Linked DNA regions of Notamacropus eugenii. Each later gene encodes a partner of the first gene's protein in a complex. Links are inferred from orthologs where the notes say so. Each region holds a gene or a part of one and is shown in the gene's direction. Other genes may lie near its edges.

Region 1 (8,312 bases):
AGACTAACTTAGAGAAAAAGGAAAGAGTCCTTGACTGTGGGTCAGAGGTAAGGAGGGGAAGCCAGTGGCTTGGAGACAAGGAGAGGGAATCCTGGCCACAGATGCTTTTCTATCTTCTGTATGATCTCAATACAGCATCAACATGTACCCCCTTCCTCACAGGAGAAAGGAGTGTGTATGGTGCACCCCATGCCAGGAGGGAACTGGCAGGTGCCCAGGAAGTAGAAGAGAATGGGACTACCTTGACAGAGGTCCCCTTGGATCAGGTATGGGGTCTGTGGCCTTAGAAGAGAATAGCTGAAGAGTGTGTAGAGTCCCACAATCCATCCAAGGTGAAGCAAAGTGCTGAGAAGTAGGCATCAGAAGATCTGGGTTCTAATCCTGGCTCTACCACCACACTCCAATGGCTTGCGAGTTCCCTTTGGTGCTCCTCTGGTGAGACTATGGGTATCCTCCCATAATTTCACCACTAGGGATCCATTCTGCTAGAGGCCATTACAAGGGTTCCAGGGGAGCACCCTGACTGTCTACTGGGCCCAGTTACCTTGAACAGCTATCATCTTTCACAGTGAATCAGTCCCTTCATCTGTACAGGGGATTCGTGAACCAGATAGTCTCCAGGGGCCCTTTGCACTTCTGCTAGGTTAAGGGGTCTCTGCTCTGGGATCTAAGTTGGCTCCCTTCTAGCTGATTGTTCTTTCTCTTCCAGAGGGCTGCAGAAATGGTTGAAGAAGCCTATTTCTTGGAAAATGCTGCCTAGGGTAGGTGGTATGGAACTAAACTTGGATGCCATTCTGGAAAACCAAGAAGCCCTGCACAACCTCCTTCCCTCCCTCCCTTTTCCCAGCCCCCAGCCAGCATTCCATCAGTAGCCATGGCACAGGCTTTTATTGAACCGACCCACCCTCTTCTGCTGTGATCCCCCACTGACGTTTCTAGTTTGCCTGGCCCACAAACCTGCAAGTAGCCTGCCTAGACAGGGGAAGAGAAGGGTTACCTTCCACCACCCAGTTGGGTCTGATACCAGGTAGGGTAGGAAGGACACAGGGGCATACACACTTTGGCCTAATAAAGAAGAATGTTTTCTTGGCTTCTGGGTTATCTGAGCTTTGTCTCTTACCCATGTCTCCAGACCATATCCCACTCTAAAGTCTGGACCAGGAAAAAGAGCAGCAAAAGCTGGTTATGAAGCTAGCCTCTCAACCTAGGGGACCAGGGGCCCTCGGACGGGGAGAGGAAGGAAGGTGTCTAACTGACTGTAGCACATGTGGGCTCTGACTCACCACCAGCCCCAGCCCACATCAGCTCCAAGGCTCAGAAGGCCCCTAAGTTTGAGCTTGACGGGTACTCTGCACCTGACATCCAGGGTGCTCTGCACAAACCACAATACTGGCTGGAGGCCAAGGTCATGAGAGAGGTTGGGTCACACAACAAAAGGGGAGGGAGTTTCCAAGGCATGAAACTTCAGGTTCAAAGTGGTGAAGTCTTTGAGCCCCGCTCCTCCCCATGAGGCCTCACTGAATCATAGAGGAAGAGGCCACTGCCAAGGGGAAGTCAAAGACAGCCTTCTCAAGGAAAGCTCAAGCGTAGGTGGCTCAGGATTCCCCCAGCCCAGGGTTCCCTGCTCCACTGCTCCGTCGTCTCTGGGTAGGGCTGGCCACAGGATCCTGTCGTTATTCTGTCTTGCCCACTGAACTTGCAATGCAGAGCATGATTCCAGAGACGGTGAGCACCATTCCCAGGGCAGGACCTGGGTCAATCAATCAGCCAATCAATAGTAAGCACTTACTATGTGCCAGACAAGGCTAAGTGGTGGCTCAGAAAGGAAAAGGTCTTCTCATACTCCAAGGTTCCCTACCCTGACTGTAGGGAAAGAAGAGGCAAGTGTGCTAAAAGACACACCAGAGACTAGATGCTCATCCCCCCAAAGACCATAGGTTTTTGAAATGCACAGAAGTCACCCAGCTTGGGCACCTAAGAGCCTGGCAAGTGATTTCTCCCCAGGAGTGGTCTTACTTACATTTTCCACCAATGTCTTCCCCAAGGAACTTCCCGACAACCAGGGTGACAACAAGGGCCAGGGAGTTAGTGATGGGCACAGCCAGGGACAGATCTGGAGGGGAACAGTTTGATGACATTCCCTGGGGTCCACTCTAAAGCAGGAAAGGTATTCCCTGCCCTCACAAAGATCTGGTCTAATAGGAGGGGTGTGGGTGTTTATCTAGGTTAGAAAAACCAAGTAATAGACTTGAAGTCAGGAAGACTCAGGCTAGGATTCCACCGCAGACACCCATTTCTCACAACAGGTCATTTGGATGAGTCACTTAAACCTCCTTAAACTGACAAGGTTCCTTGTCAATAAAACTGAGATAAGGACAGTACCTACCTCAAAGGGTGTTGTGAGGATCCGATGAGCTACTGTATGTAAAGTGCATTGCAAACCTTGGAAAGCTACAGAAATGCCAGCTATTATACTTGTTAAAAGACAGACACGTATAGAGCTTTGACAGTTAAACAAATACAACAATGAAGAAAATCCAGTCAGGAGGAGTGCAGCTATTAATCCAAGCCTTATTTCTCTTTTACTCTTGGGAGGGATCAAGTTCTTAAGAATACTAATGTTTTCAGCACTCACGACCTTTCACACTAAACAATGAAGTCATATGGTGCTCACAGTCTCTGAACTCAGATTCTGCAGGGCAAATTCAGTGATCTAGACATAGTAACAACAGACCTCACACCCTGCCCCCCCCAAACTTGCCCCATCCCAAAAGGATACTAGAAAGACTTTAAAGTAAGCTGTGTAGAAAACCAACCAAGCTATGTCTATCACCATGGGGAATGGATGCAGCAACTCATAAAGGTAACTCCTAAAGCCTAAATCCTGAAAGGAGTGTCCACATCACATTAATGAAAGGGATTTTTTTAAAAGTAAGGAAATATACTTCAATCTTCTAGGGGTGGAGGAGTAATTTATGCCTTTTGGTTGACGCTAAAAAATACAGAACAGAATAAAGAAAATGACAAGAATAAACAAAACGTTGTCCAAAAAGGACCTGAGTAGATGGTAATGTGAAGAAGGCCTGGGAAGCATTATTTGCTTGCATGTAAGTCAAATGGAAGAGTAGGAGATCTGTCCAAGAAGCAAAGAATTCTTTAGTGGTGTCATCTTGCCCTCCAAATATTTAACGGATCTGTGGTTCCTTGGGGGCATTCTCTTCGGCTGATGCAACCATGCCTGTCTATCCCGTACAACCCATGAACCCATCCCCTCCTGTCCAATTGGTTTTTTATCCCTTTGGCTATGAGAAAATAGGCCCGAAGACGTAAGGCGTCTTGGTCAAGGTCACCACGGTAGCAGAAATAGGATGCCAACTCAGGTCCCTGAATGCCAAGTCCAAAGTGGGGGAGGGGTGTCAGGAAAATGTTACGTACCCTTCGGTAAGACTGAATTGTCTCCTTCAGGCCCGGATCCATCTCTCACCCCCCCAATGCCTGGGACGTGCCAAGGTTACTAGGGTGGGAAGCCCCGTCCCACAACGTAGCACGGTTATAGCTGCTAAGGAAGCATTAGATCGCTACGTGAACCTCCCTGGCAGGCTGGATGCCTACTGGCCGCAGCCCACCCAGACGACCAGCCCCCAAAGCAGAGACGCACCTACCTGTTGATGCCAGGGTGAGGTAGTAGATCAGGGAGCCACACTGGTTGAGGCAAAAGGGCACCAGATACTGGGGTGGAGAGGAGGGAAAGGCTGGGGTCAGCGCAGCAGGCGGCACGGAGCCATCCGAGGCGCTGTCTGCCAGCCCAGGGAAGGGACAGTCCCTCAGCGCTTTGGTCCGCTCAGGACGGGATGCCCGACCCCGGCCTCCGCACCCCCATCTCGGGGACCCCTGCACGCGGCCCTACCTGGGAGCTGGAAAACAAGGCCTTCGTCTCCCGCAGGAGCCGCTCCAGCCGGCTCCCCGCCCGCACCGGCTCCACGGCGCCCGTGGCCCTCTTCAGCAGCGGGTTGGAGCCGCCCCACAGCACGGCCACCAGCACCAGGGCACATGCCTGCCCTGGGAGGGGGAGGCCAGCCCGTCACTCACCCTGCGGGGCTGCCCCCCGGAGCCCTCCCCCCACCTCCCCGGGGCGGGGAACTGAGCGCCGGGGGGCGCTTCCGGCACTGGCTACCGGCGTCCCCCGGGCCAGCAGCAGCCTCAGGGGCCCCGTCTGTAGGACGGAGGCCATGACCATTCCCAAGGAGGCGTTCCCCGAGGGCTCCCGGGGAACACCTGAAGAAAGCGCGGGGCGCCCGCCGTCCTTATTATTACAGAGGAAGAAACGGAGCTGGGAACGCAGGTGGGGGGAGGGGCTGGGAATTCCTCACCCAGAGTCGCCGCCATGACAACGCCGGAAAAGGAAGGCTTCCACTTCCGGGGCCGGCCCGGCGCCGTGACCCGGAAGCTCAGTCCCTCTCTCTTCCGGTAAGTCCCTCACGCTGCTGCGCGGATCAGTGGCGCCGGTGCGGTCGCTTCAGCCGCCGCGATGGTGAGTCCGCTTGGGGAGGGCGAAGCAAGGAGGGGTGGGAGGCCAAGGGGGCAGAACACGGTGCCCTCGCCCAAGCCCGTGCCCTGACAGTGACCCCCCCCTCCTCTTTCCCCCGGCCCGGTGCCGTCCCCAGAAGCCGATCCTGCTCCAGGGCCACGAGCGATCCATCACGCAGATCAAGTACAACCGCGAGGGAGACCTGCTCTTCACCGTCGCCAAGGACCCCGTGAGCATGCGCGGCCCGGAGCGGGGGGAGGGGAGGCTGGAGAGGACGGGGAATTCCGCTGGGAAGGGGGAGGGGCAGAGGGGGGAGGGATTGGGGCGGTCCTAGAGGAGAGCGGGGAGGGAAGCAGCTAGGAGGGGGCTGCATGGGAGACTGGAGGAGTGGGGAAACTGAGGCAGTGCTCGTTTTCATGTGGTTGGCATAGAGGCAGCTCGATGGCCCAGTGGATAGAGCGCTGCCAAGTTCGACTCCAGCCTCAGAGCTTTATTAATGACTCTGTGACCCTGGGCAAGTCACCCAAACTGTGTCCTCCTCTGTAAAAGGGGGCCATAATCTCACTTTATCTGACCAGGTGATTGGTTGTGACGCTGGAATGAGGCCGAGTGTGGAAGGCATTTTGTAAACTCTAAGGAGCTTCTACAACCCTTCATTATCATGATTAACCCCCTGCCCATTTTACACATCAGGTCTAGAGCCCTGGTCTCCTGATTTTGAGGTTCTTCCTGCTATACAAACCTTCTCATTGCTACCTTCCAGTTTGCCCACAAAACAGTTACGACCATCATCACCCATCCCTGGCCCATCGCCTGGGGAGAATTTCTCATCCTTGGATGTAGATGGTGGCTGACTTGGTTCAGCTTGTTTTTTAACCTCCTCTTGACTCAGGAGGGAGACAGGGCTAGTGTGGTTGCTACCTGAGGAGGCTGCTGCGCCTCTGCAGAGATGGGGCCTTTTATGTCAGGGGTCAGTCAGTGCTGAAAACTAGGGGGTCAGATTGAACATTCGCCTGCTGAGGTAGAATCAATATCCGGTAAAGGAAGTTGGCTACAAGTTACCTTGAGGGAAGATGTGTGAATGGTTTGGAGGACCAGGGAGATACATATGTAACTGAATAGCTATTGATATACAAAACATGTAATTTAGCGGCTACTAAAGCTTCAAAGTATACTAAGACTTCTGGGGTACCCCGTTCAAGACATAAATCTGTTCTCAAATCATTTGTTTGGGGCATGCTACAGGACACAGTTTGATCTTAAAGGCCCAGTCACATATTCTTTCACAGGGGCTTGGTTAGGGAGTTTCCCTGGTAGGGAGGCAGGAGTTATCGAGGGGAGGCAAAGGCTGAGAGCCAGCAAGATAGAGGCTGCTGGCAGACTCTGGGGGGAAGGGAAGGTTTTTTCCTGGTTCCTCTTCAGCAAACTAACTAACGTCTTTGCTTCGCTAGATTGTCAACGTCTGGTACTCGGTAAACGGAGAACGGCTGGGCACCTACACGGGGCACACTGGAGCTGTGTGGTGTGTGGATGCTGATTGTATCCTCTAATGCTGCTGCCTTAAAGAGCTGGCGTATTCTCTGTTGGTCAAAGACAGAGACGCCCGACTGTGGTGTTGTCTCGGGGGGGGGGGGGGGGGGGGGTTAAAGAGATTCAGACAGCTTCTCCTGCCTCCCTTTCTCCCTGCCAAACGGAAACGGTGACACATGAATTTGATAACATTCCCTAACAACTTCTCCAGGGGACACCAAACATGTCCTTACCGGCTCTGCCGACAACAGCTGCCGCCTCTGGGATTGTGAGACAGGTAATCAGATGATCTACTTCTGTTAGGGCCCCTCATTTACTGCCTTGGCCTCCCAGGTCTGGTCACTGGGTGGAGTTGGTCATTTGGGAATGGGCTTGACTAGTGTTAATGGGGTATTGGATATCAGGTAGACTCAGACAATGTCAGAATTGGAAAGGGACTTGAGGATCTTGTAGTCCAACTTCTGTCCTTTCATGAAGGAGAAAACTGAGGCCCAGAGAGGGGGGAGTGACTTGGTCCAAGTCACAAGGTTAGGAGCAGGGATGGGCCCAGAACCCAGTTCTTCTGGCTTCCTGCTCCTCCCCACACGTAGTGCTGCCTTCTCCAGGCTGATGGATTTGATACCTCCTTTTCCGTGGCTCCCAGCATCAGCTTAGAAGGCAATGCTTATTCTGGAGATATATCTTCATAGATTAGTGGATCATTTTGCAAGGCTGAACCTATTCCTAAGATGATTGGTCAGAAAGTTCAGGCTTCCTGTTCCTGGCATTCCCCTCCCAGACTGGGTGAAGCAGTTACCTAGTGTGTTCTCAGGATTCAGGGATGGACATCTGTTGTCCAGTTTGAAGGAAGCAGATTTTACCTCAGTTTAAGAATAAGCTTGTTAATGTAAAACGGCCTGCCTTAGGAAACTGGGAGGGCTTCAGCACAGGACAAATGGTCACTTGTCAGGGGTCTGGAAAGCATTGCTGGTCATGCATGATTTGGAGTTGGTGACATCAGAGCGTCTTTGACTTGAGGCTGGGGAAGTGGGGGTGGGGTGCAGAATTCAATGCTGCCTTATTTAATGTCTTGTTCTCTGACCTGAGCCCAACCTTCTGAGGGGTCATTTTCACCAATGGAACAGTAAAGCTTGGTAGAGATGGGGTTGGGGCCTATTGGAGGCTGAGGAATGGGAGGAGCAGTTAGCCATTCTGTACTTATTCCTAGGAAAGCAGCTGGCTCTGCTGAAGACCAACTCAGCTGTCCGTACATGCGGATTTGACTTTGGAGGCAACATCATCATGTTCTCCACGGACAAGCAGATGGGGTACCAGTGCTTTGTCAGTTTCTTTGATCTCCGGGACCCCAGCCAGATCGGTAATGACATATGGGTGCGGATTCAGGGACTCAGAGTGGAGGTGGGGTCTACTGTAGCCTGGAGCCAGTCTTCACCATCTGTCTACTTACTACCCCCCAAACAGATAGCAATGAACCATACATGAAGATCCCCTGTAATGCTGATGCCAAGATCACAAGTGCCGTGTGGGGACCCTTGGGGGAATGCATCATTGCTGGCCATGAAAATGGGGAACTGAACCAGTACAGTGCTAAGGTGAGGTCCAGGGAGGGGTGAGTGTGGAAGGATCAGGATCTCGGGAGAGTGGCTGGGATCACCTCCCAGCAGCTCTGGCCTCCTGGTGGTGAGAGGGGGAGTGATGTACCTTCCACCATGCCTTCTCCCAGTCTGGTGAAGTGATGGTGAATGTTAAGGAGCACTCAAGGCAGATCAACGATATCCAGACATCTCGAGACATGACAATGTTCGTCACCGCTTCTAAGGACAATACTGCCAAGGTGGGTGCTAGGCTCAAAGCGGGTCTGACTGATCCAAATCAGGGGTCCTTCCCTTCTCTCATGTTTCTTTCCCCTTCTAATATGTGTTTTTAGCTCTTTGACTCCACAACCCTTGAGCACCAAAAAACATTCAGAACGGAGCGACCTGTCAACTCAGCTGCTCTTTCCCCCATCTATGACCACGTAAGGCAGCCCTGGCTCCCCTGCTCACCCCTAAGTCACAATAAAGGCTGATGGAGCACTTCAGAGGGAAGGGGTTGGGTGGTAGACCTAGGGGAAGCTTTGAGGGAAAGGCTCCCAAGTCTGATAGGGGAAGAGATTTAGAGGTTGCAGAGATGCAGTACCCTAAGGGCAGGACCTGACCTAAAAGCTCCATCTGGACCTCCTCCTTTCTGTAGGTCGTCCTAGGTGGTGGGCAGG
Region 2 (8,501 bases), on another chromosome or scaffold:
AAAAACAAGTGTTTCCAAGGTAAGGGTGAAGCACAGGAACAGGTCAAAACCCTTCCCCTCAAGGTAGTCCAGAAGTGTTCCTTTTTTTTTTTTTTTTTTTAGTCTGCAAGAAACACATCTCTCTCATGCCTAGAGAGCAGTTTCTGCTTTCAAGGTCTCACAGATTCTGGCTGAAAGGGTTGACAAGTCAAGGCTTTTTAATCCTTTGTTCCTCTGCTTAGGAGAGGTACAAAATCTGTTATCTCCAGGCACCAAGGGGCTACAAAGAGCACCTTCACCACTAGTCCTTGGACTAGGCATTATTAAAATCTTGGAACAGAAAGTTCTTCCCCAGAGTTTAGGCATTTAAGGCAGAAGGTGAAATTACAAAAGAAGACAGAAAACAATTCTCCTGATGAGGAGTCATATCTCAGAGAATGGGCTTGGATGCCCCACTCCAGTCGGGGCCTTAAGGAGTGACTGTCCCTCTGGCGATCCTGAAGGGATATGCCAGTTAGCTAAGCTGGTGTTGGCGTTTTAACCGATAAGGGCACTCTCTTATCCAATGACCAAGCTGTTTACAGTAAAAGCATGCAGAAGGGTCAAAAGACTTCTTAGGACGTCGTTTCCTAGGGCCTCTCCAGACAATCATCTTCCTCTCCTGCTCCAGCTGCCAGTAGTAGTGAGCTAGAGGTGCCAATTCATGGACACATTTTTCTTCCCACCCCACACAAAAAGTACGCAGCTGTTTTTGAACTTGGGGAAGGAGGCCTTGAACAAAAGCGAGGGCCATCCCCTGGGTGGCACCACTGTCTGGGTCCTCAATGCCAGAATGCTCCTCAAAGACTTTTGTAAAGCGATTTAAATACACATGTGGCTGCTCATTTATTTTTTGCTTACAGGATATAATTTTCCCCCAATCAGATTTTCTGGGGCAGACCAGCAGGATAGCATTCAGTAAAGACCGCCAGAGCCAAACCAAGTACGGCCCTTCTCCAGGATCATCCATGGGCCAGAGAGCCATATCAAAGAGGCGCTGTCTGACCTTTGTGGGCAGCACAATTGTCAACAGTCTATTCATATCTGCCCAGGTGGGCTTCAAAACATGAATAATAAAACTCAGCTGATTCTTAAACTCTACTGGTTCTTGCTCAATGTCGGAGAGCTTGATAGCAAGGTCATACAAATCCTCATGCCTAAAAGTAGTACAGTCACCTGAATTACTTCTCCACTCTGGGTACTCTACTACTCTATGCCTGCGAGTATAGATCCAAGAATCTTCTGCATCTAAGGTTACAAAAGGTGTTGGGGTAAAGGAAGGAGGGGGAGTTAAAGGAAAGGAAGAGGCAGTGGGTGGAGCCTGAGCTGGCGCTGGAGGGGCAGCAGCTGGAGCATGAACTGGCACTGCAGGAGTAACAGCTGGAGCCTGAGCTGGCACTGGAGGGGTAACAGCTGGAGCCTGAGCTGGCACTGGAGGAGTAGCAGCTGGAGCCTGAGCTGGCACTGTAGGAAAAGCAGCTGGAGCCTGAGCTGGCACTGGAGAGGTAACAGCTGGAGCCTGAGCTGGCACTGGAGGGGTAGCAGCTGGAGCCTGAGCTGGCACTGGAGGGGTAGCAGCTGGAGCCTGAGCTGGCACTGGAGGGGTAGCAACTGGAGCCTGAGCTGGCATTGCAGGGATAGCAGCTGGAGCTGGCACTGGAGAGGTAGCAGCTGGAGTCTGAGCTGGCGCTGGAGGGGCAGTGACTGGAGCTGGAGGTTGGGGAGTTTCATGAGAACTCAAGGGCCCCTGACCATCCCCCTGCATCTCCTGTTTTGGTGGAGGGTGATTCAAAGACTCAAAAGCTCGAATCCTGTCTTCCAGTTTCTCAATGGAATCCCTATGATGCTGCTCCTGAGCAGCCTGGTGCCTTCGAGAAGCTTCTGTCTGCCAATCAATGAATGCTTTCCACTGGCCTCGCCCGACTTTAGAGCCACGAGATTCTAGGACCTCCTTCAGGTGCATTATTTTACTCAAGTCAAATGATCCTTCTTGTGGAAACCACAGAGAGTACTTCTGACCTCTCGTGAGCCTACTCCAGTCAAGCAGAAACCTGCAGCACTTAGGCTGGTAGTGGGTGTACATATAAAATGCTGGAGTTCCTTCCTTTGGAATGGCTCCTCTCTCATCCTTAGTCATGAGATTCCCCATTCTGGAGGCTCCTCCTACCTGTCCAACAAACAGTCCATCTCAAATTCACCTGAACGTTGGGCAACTAGCCCTCAGCCCTCACCAATCCCTCCTGAACCCTGATCCACAGCTCTCTGGGCTGGAGCCTTTACAGATCATCAGGAACCAGGTTTAATACTCAGCTGGGATAATGTCCTGTCTCGAGGATACCTGGTTACCCTGTTCTGTCCAAACAAAATTAACTCTCAACCATTCTCTATATGAACACAGAACAAGGTTGCATGCGTTAAATCAGCTGGAATATACAGTGTGGGGAAAGGACATTGATTTCATCCCTTTCAGCGGGCCAGAAGGGAACCCAGGAAGGCTGACCACGGGATTTGTGGAACTACCACAGGTACCAAGAGTCAACAGGTGTGCTATTCTGGGTGGCACATCCATACCCTATATCTGGAGAGGAGAGCAGAGTGGGGCCACACACTCAACTTGTTGCCCAAAGACAAAAGACTTCTTGGGAGCCCTGGTCCCTGGGCAGGACTCTGACCAAAGGAAAGGAGAAAGATCCTTGTCAGGGTGTTAGTGGCTGCAACATGTCATGTAAAAGGCGGTTACAGATACAGCCAAGATACAGCCACAGGCACTTGAAAAGTGGTTTATAAGCCAATTCCTAAAGGAAATGCTCTAAGCCTGTTTGAGGATCTAGTCTGACAGGCAGCTTAAGCCTGAAACCCCCCTGACAGATATCAAAAGATCTCTTACCTACAAGGGGCACCAGGCGCCTGGAGGTGACCAGTCTGGTGGGCTTCTGAGTCACAGGCTGAGAACTGAGAGGAAATGAAAGGGAAAACACTTAGTTGGCCAGAGGGAGGCCACAACGGCTGAGAGCCCCAACATTTTGCATTTTTTTTAATATGTACATCACCAGCGCTGGACTAGGGGACCCAAGAAGGATAATTCAGAGTTTCTTGTGGGGTGAGCTCCTTAAAAAGTTTTTAACCAACCTCAATCTAAATGAAAAGAGGTTGAGCCGGGAGGTCAGGCTGATGAAGCCAGAGGTGAAGGGCCGGTCCGAAAGGAAGCCCACCCTTCGGCTCTAAAAAGCCAGGACAAGGGCCTTCTGGAGCACGTGGGAGGGGGGAAGGGGCAGACTGTAAGGCGAAGGGGAGCGGGAGTACCGGGGCTAAGCCATGAGCATTTAGTAGACGCCCACTGTGTGCCATGTCATGTTATTTATATGCTCTACATTTATAATACTGTTTATATAACTCGTAAAATAATATAAAACAAACAGGCAGCTCCTGCCCTCAGGGAGCACGTGTCCAACAGCTGGCGCCGGGGTGGGCTGCAGGGAGAAGATGCAGGGTCACTCTCAGAGGCTGCCTAGTCCAGGCCCGGAGAGCGGAAGCGATTCAGGGGGTCGGTGTGGAGCTGGAAGAGACCTCGGCGTCCTCCTCACTTATGTCACAGAAAGGGAAACTGAGGCCCGGAGGGAAGCATCTTACCCAGGAGTCACAGAGCGAGACACCGGCCAAGGTGCAGAATTCGAACTCAGGTCCAAGAGGGACAAACTGCACGAGCAGAGAAGAAGCCTCTGACTCAGATGGAAACAATAAGGTCCCCTGGGCAAAGTCCCGGAAATGGGGGGAGGGGATGTGGGCGGGGGCTCCCGGGACTTTTTAAACCTGGTGCCTCCCCGCCCAAATAAGGATGTCTCAAAGCATCATGGGATATGTTGTTTGGACACAAGCTCTCCCCTCCCCCGCTCCACGCTTAAGCATCATGGGATATGTTGCCAGCCTCGTCTTCCCTAGCCCTGAAGCATTATGGGATATATGGGGGGGAACCCTACTAAAGCAGGTTCCCCATCACTTTGTAAGGCATAGCCCTCCCTGGCCCAGGAGCACTATGGGACATGTACTTCAAGCCAGACTCCCAAGGAACCAGACGCCCTCTTCCCAAAGCATCTTGGTCCATGTCTCTCAGACTAGTGTCCTGAGGAATAAGGCCCTCTTTCCTCACAGGCTGGGAAACGCTGTTAGAACTCGGGGATTCTGCGCAGATCCTAGCGTAGAACGCATGCGTCATCAACGCTTTTCTGTCCCGCCCCACCCCTCCGACGCTCCACCTCCGCCTGCGTCCGGGCTGTCCGTGTCTATCGCCTGTTCCAATCTCTATAGCCTCCAAGGGAAGGGCTAGAAACTCATCTCTCCATTCTGTTCATTGAAGGGGATAAACAAGAGCCATGAAATGCTTCCAAGCGCTCAATTCATATCCCTTATTTGGGTCTGGATCCCCTGTGATAGAAGCAGGCGCAGCTTAAACACCTAAACACGCTTTTTCGGAGACCTCCGTCTGCGTTTACTAATACGCTGGAACGGGGTGGTCGGCCTGGAGGAGGGCCCTCCATATTGGGTGTGTCAGACTAGGGTTTTCTTGCATTGGATAACTATTGGTTTGTTATCCTCTGCTGACACAAAAAGCAATAAAGCAACATTACCGTATCTCAGGCTCTCACCTGGGAAGCTGGAGGGGAAAAGCATGTTGAAAATCGAGTCACTTCCGCCACTCTCATCATGGCGGACTCTCCCGGAAGTGTGCTTCCTTAGGTTCCGCTTCCGGGAATATTGCGCAGGCTCGGGCGGCAGGCGCTCCCCACACGATTGCCCGCTCCTTCTCTGAGCCCAGACTGAGCCGCCGCCATGTCCTACCCGGCTGAGGATTATGACAATGAGGTAATGGGGGTCCCTGCTCCCTGGGTCCCTTCAGGGGTCCAGGGGGTGGGCGTGCGGTGAGGTGCGGGGCCCTCCCCCACTCTTCTCCCTTCTTCCCTTCGCCCCCCAACTTCCATCTCCCTTCCCCCACCCTCCTTTCTCTTCTTCCCTTTCCACTTCTCTCCGTTTAGTCTGTTCTCCTTCTTCCTTCAAATAAAAGAGAACGCCCTGATCCTTCTCCCAGCTGCCCCCTCCCCCGCCTCTAGAAATGGGCACGTGCCAGGCATTGCAGGGGGGAACGAGAAAGGCCCAAGCGGCCCCTGCCCTCGGGGATCTCCCATCTCCCCGGGGAGACGGCATCGGGGAGGGGGGCGCAATCTCAAGAGAAGGGGACTGAGCAGCCCCGGAAGGCAGAGGAGGCCCCCTCCCCAACAGCGCCTGGGAAGCTCCCTGAGGACGGGGGTCTGGCTTCCTCTCGAGCCCTCCCCTCCTGCTGCTTGGCCAGCGTCTCCCCCCTTTCCCTACGGCCGTCCCCTCTCGGCTCCCCCTCCATCCACGCTGCTTCCCGCCTCCCCCGGTCCCAGAGCTGGGCTTCTGTCCCTGAAATGGAAAGAGCCCCCGGCCCTGTCACCGGGGCTGGCTCAGTGCACCCACCCAGGGAAAGGCTGTGTAGCCTTCAGGCTGCGAACGAATGAGGTGGTCTTTCTTTCTCCTCCTCCAGGCTGCCTACGATCCCTACGCTTACCCAGGCGACTATGACATGCACACAGGTAAGACGCGCCGGCCCGCACTGGGCTGGTGCCCAGCCCAGTAGCACCAGCTCCAGCCAGGAGTCACCCTCAGGTGGGCCTCCTTTGGGGGTGTCCAGGAAGCCAGGGTCACCAAAAAGTGTTTGCTCAGTTTTCATTTCAGACAGAAGGCTCCGCTGGTGCTGAGGGGCGGCTGATGTTTAGGGGAAACTCAGTCATTGTCCCCAAGGAGCTGGTGGGGTGCTGGAGAAGATAGATGCTTGTTGAGACTATCGTGTTTAATTCTTTTGCACTTGTAATTCCACTGCCAGGCAGCCAGATGTCTTCATAAATCCTTGTCCGTTGATTGAGGAATAGTTACACATCATTCTGTATGATTTCACTTGATGACAGAAGTTATAAAACTCTTAATGTTGTTTGTTTAGGATGATCGTGGAGTTTGTGTGAAAGTCTTTTGTGAAAGGTGCTGTTTCTAAGTCACATAAATGCCGGTTACTATTGTGGTTTGGGGTGCTGGGAATCTTAAAATATAAGGAGCCCTGAAAAGAATTCAATCACTCAAGCCTTCTTTCAGTCAAAATAACAAGATTTATTTGTGATGCCAAAAAAGTGGCCTTTATTCTAAGTGAGTTGATGGGGATGGGACTGATACTTATATACAAAAATAGGTAAGAAGGATCAGTGAAAAGATCTGAATGGGACCGAGGAGTAGTAAATAGTGTGGGATGGGCCAAGTGCAGACATCAAAAGGAGTTAGGTGGTCTGGGCTGGGTTGGAGAGCCACAGTGAAAGGGTAGTTAAAAGGATTTTTGAGTATCTAGGTAGACTGGGGTGGACCATATACTTCAGGCCAGCATGGGAAAGTTCAGGGCTGGATTGTTTTCAGAGACATGGTCTTTTCCTTTTGAGGGTTCAGATCCCATCCTCCATCAGTTTTATAATTCAGGTTCACTCCAAACCTTTGCTTGCTCCAGGCCCTGGGGATTCCCAGGCCCCTTTTTTGGCTCTGCAGAGATTGAGAGCCATCAATGGTCTCATTCTTTCTTTCATCTCTGACCTGAAGGGGACCCAAAACAGGACCTGGCCTATGAACGGCAATATGAGCAGCAGACCTACCAAGTGATTCCAGAAGTGATCAAGAACTTTATCCAATATTTCCACAAAACTGTCTCCGACCTCATTGACCAGAAAGTCTATGAGCTTCAGGCAAGCCGGGTGTCCAGTGACGTCATCGATCAGAAAGTCTATGAGATCCAGGACATCTACGAGAACAGGTGTGGACGGTTGCCAGGGATGACTCCTCCTTCTCTCCTACTCTGGGTTGTATAGAGCACTTTCCTTCCCATGTCCCTGGGAGGGATCTGGGCTGGACAGGTCTACCCTCACTGTACTGATAGATTTGCTTCTTCTCAAACTGTGTTGGTTGGTTGGCCTGGTCCAGTGGCTTCCCAAGCTTTCCTGTCCATTTGGCTTTGTCTCCATAAGTTAAAAGTGCTGGGTGTGGCTCCTTTGACCACTCTGGACCTTACAAGAGTCCAGCTACATGATCTCTAAATAGCTCTAAATTCTAGCTGGAGACTAGCTGTTATTCTTAGAATAAGTACTAAAGTGTGTGGTGCTGTGGAGGTGTCAGTCAGCATTTATTAAGCACCAACTATGTGCCGGGCACTACTAGGCACTCAGCATACAGGTACAAAAGTGGAAACTTCCGTTCTTTCAAGGAGTTAACATCCTAACGGGGAGACCACATGTGTGTCCACAGAGATACATAAACAACTAGGTAGTGCCCTAGTGGATAGAGCGCCGGGCCTAGAGGCAGGAAGACACATCTTCCTGAATTCAAATCTGGCCTCAGACACTTAGTAGCCGGGTGACCCTGAAGGCTGAAGGAGGGTAGGGAGGCCAAGAAAACTCAGGACCAGCAGAGAATTGTTTCTAGGAGAAGCAGGTGATGAACAGGGGCAGCAGATGGGCCACAAAATTTCCTTTTTTTCTTTTGAGAAATATTTAAGAAATAGCATTGACAATGTCCTGGTTCATAATCCTTGGTCCCACCTGAAAATAATTATTAAGCCAAGGAGACAAAGCTTAACTTGAAGCCCTTGGTTTGGTTCAGCCTTAAAGACCTGGTTACATTTGCACCCAAGTTTCCTAAGGGTTCCTATTACCTGGACCTAAGATTGGAGTGGTGGCCAAGCAGAGATGTCTTTGGACTCTCCTGCTTCATCTGTGACCCCACTGGATGATTTGAGGAAGCAATTTTGGCAGAGGTGCCTAGACTTTAAAGTCACTTTTCTGTAAGTGAAAAGCCCTAAGACAGGACTTGGTGCTCCTGTTTTATTGGGAGTTTTGTCTTGTTTCATGAAAACAAGTGGACATCCCTGGGGCAGAGGTGGTTTCGTTAAACTAGAAGAACTGCCTACTTAGATCTCTCTTAGAAGGGATGCTGGGATATTAATGGAAAGTTTCTGACAGATACTGGCTAAAATGCAGGAAACAGACTTTTCTTTCATGGTGCAGATTTTCTTGCTTGATTGGTCTCTCTCCTTCCTCTTTCCCCCGCCTCCCTCTCCCACCCTCTCTCTCCTTTAGCTGGACCAAGCTGACTGAAAGGTTCTTCAAGAATACTCCCTGGCCAGAAGCAGAGGCCATCGCCCCACAAGTTGGCAACGGTAGGCTTGGGGGACTTGTGCAGACCCTGCCTGAGGCCTTGCTCCTTTTCCTCTGGGAGGAGAATCTTGAGGAGGGGCTGAGACTGAAACAGCCAAAGAGCACCAGCTTTGTCTCTAGACTTTCCAGAGACTGCAACCACTTTCTCTGTTGGTTAGAGAACTCTTTTCCCTGCCAGAAGTGTCCCTAGGTCAGTTTTACCTGGTGCCCAGCAGAGGGAGAATT

The links.
Region 2: EIF3I (region 1) and EIF3L share a complex: the UniProt entries of both Homo sapiens proteins name them as parts of the eukaryotic translation initiation factor 3 (eIF-3) complex. The link is inferred for Notamacropus eugenii from reciprocal best matches to the Homo sapiens genes EIF3I and EIF3L.

The regions. Positions count from the first base shown.
Region 1 is NC_092876.1:77,629,753-77,638,064, reverse strand, and holds the start of EIF3I (eukaryotic translation initiation factor 3 subunit I), read left to right. Parts: upstream 1-4,439; 5' UTR 4,440-4,528; coding exon 4,529-4,531; intron 4,532-4,664; coding exon 4,665-4,757; intron 4,758-5,979; coding exon 5,980-6,067; intron 6,068-6,269; coding exon 6,270-6,335; intron 6,336-7,265; coding exon 7,266-7,415; intron 7,416-7,519; coding exon 7,520-7,650; intron 7,651-7,781; coding exon 7,782-7,892; intron 7,893-7,985; coding exon 7,986-8,075; intron 8,076-8,290; coding exon 8,291-8,312. Other genes in the region: DCDC2B (doublecortin domain-containing protein 2B), read left to right, coding at 163-266, 710-760; TMEM234 (transmembrane protein 234), read right to left, coding at 1,523-1,750, 2,021-2,113, 2,387-2,451, 3,663-3,729, 3,908-4,059, 4,371-4,386. UniProt on the Homo sapiens protein: Component of the eukaryotic translation initiation factor 3 (eIF-3) complex, which is required for several steps in the initiation of protein synthesis.
Region 2 is NC_092874.1:295,368,285-295,376,785, forward strand, and holds the start of EIF3L (eukaryotic translation initiation factor 3 subunit L), read left to right. Parts: upstream 1-4,763; 5' UTR 4,764-4,845; coding exon 4,846-4,878; intron 4,879-5,578; coding exon 5,579-5,627; intron 5,628-6,669; coding exon 6,670-6,880; intron 6,881-8,198; coding exon 8,199-8,278; intron 8,279-8,501. Other genes in the region: uncharacterized protein, read right to left, coding at 494-2,167. UniProt on the Homo sapiens protein: Component of the eukaryotic translation initiation factor 3 (eIF-3) complex, which is required for several steps in the initiation of protein synthesis.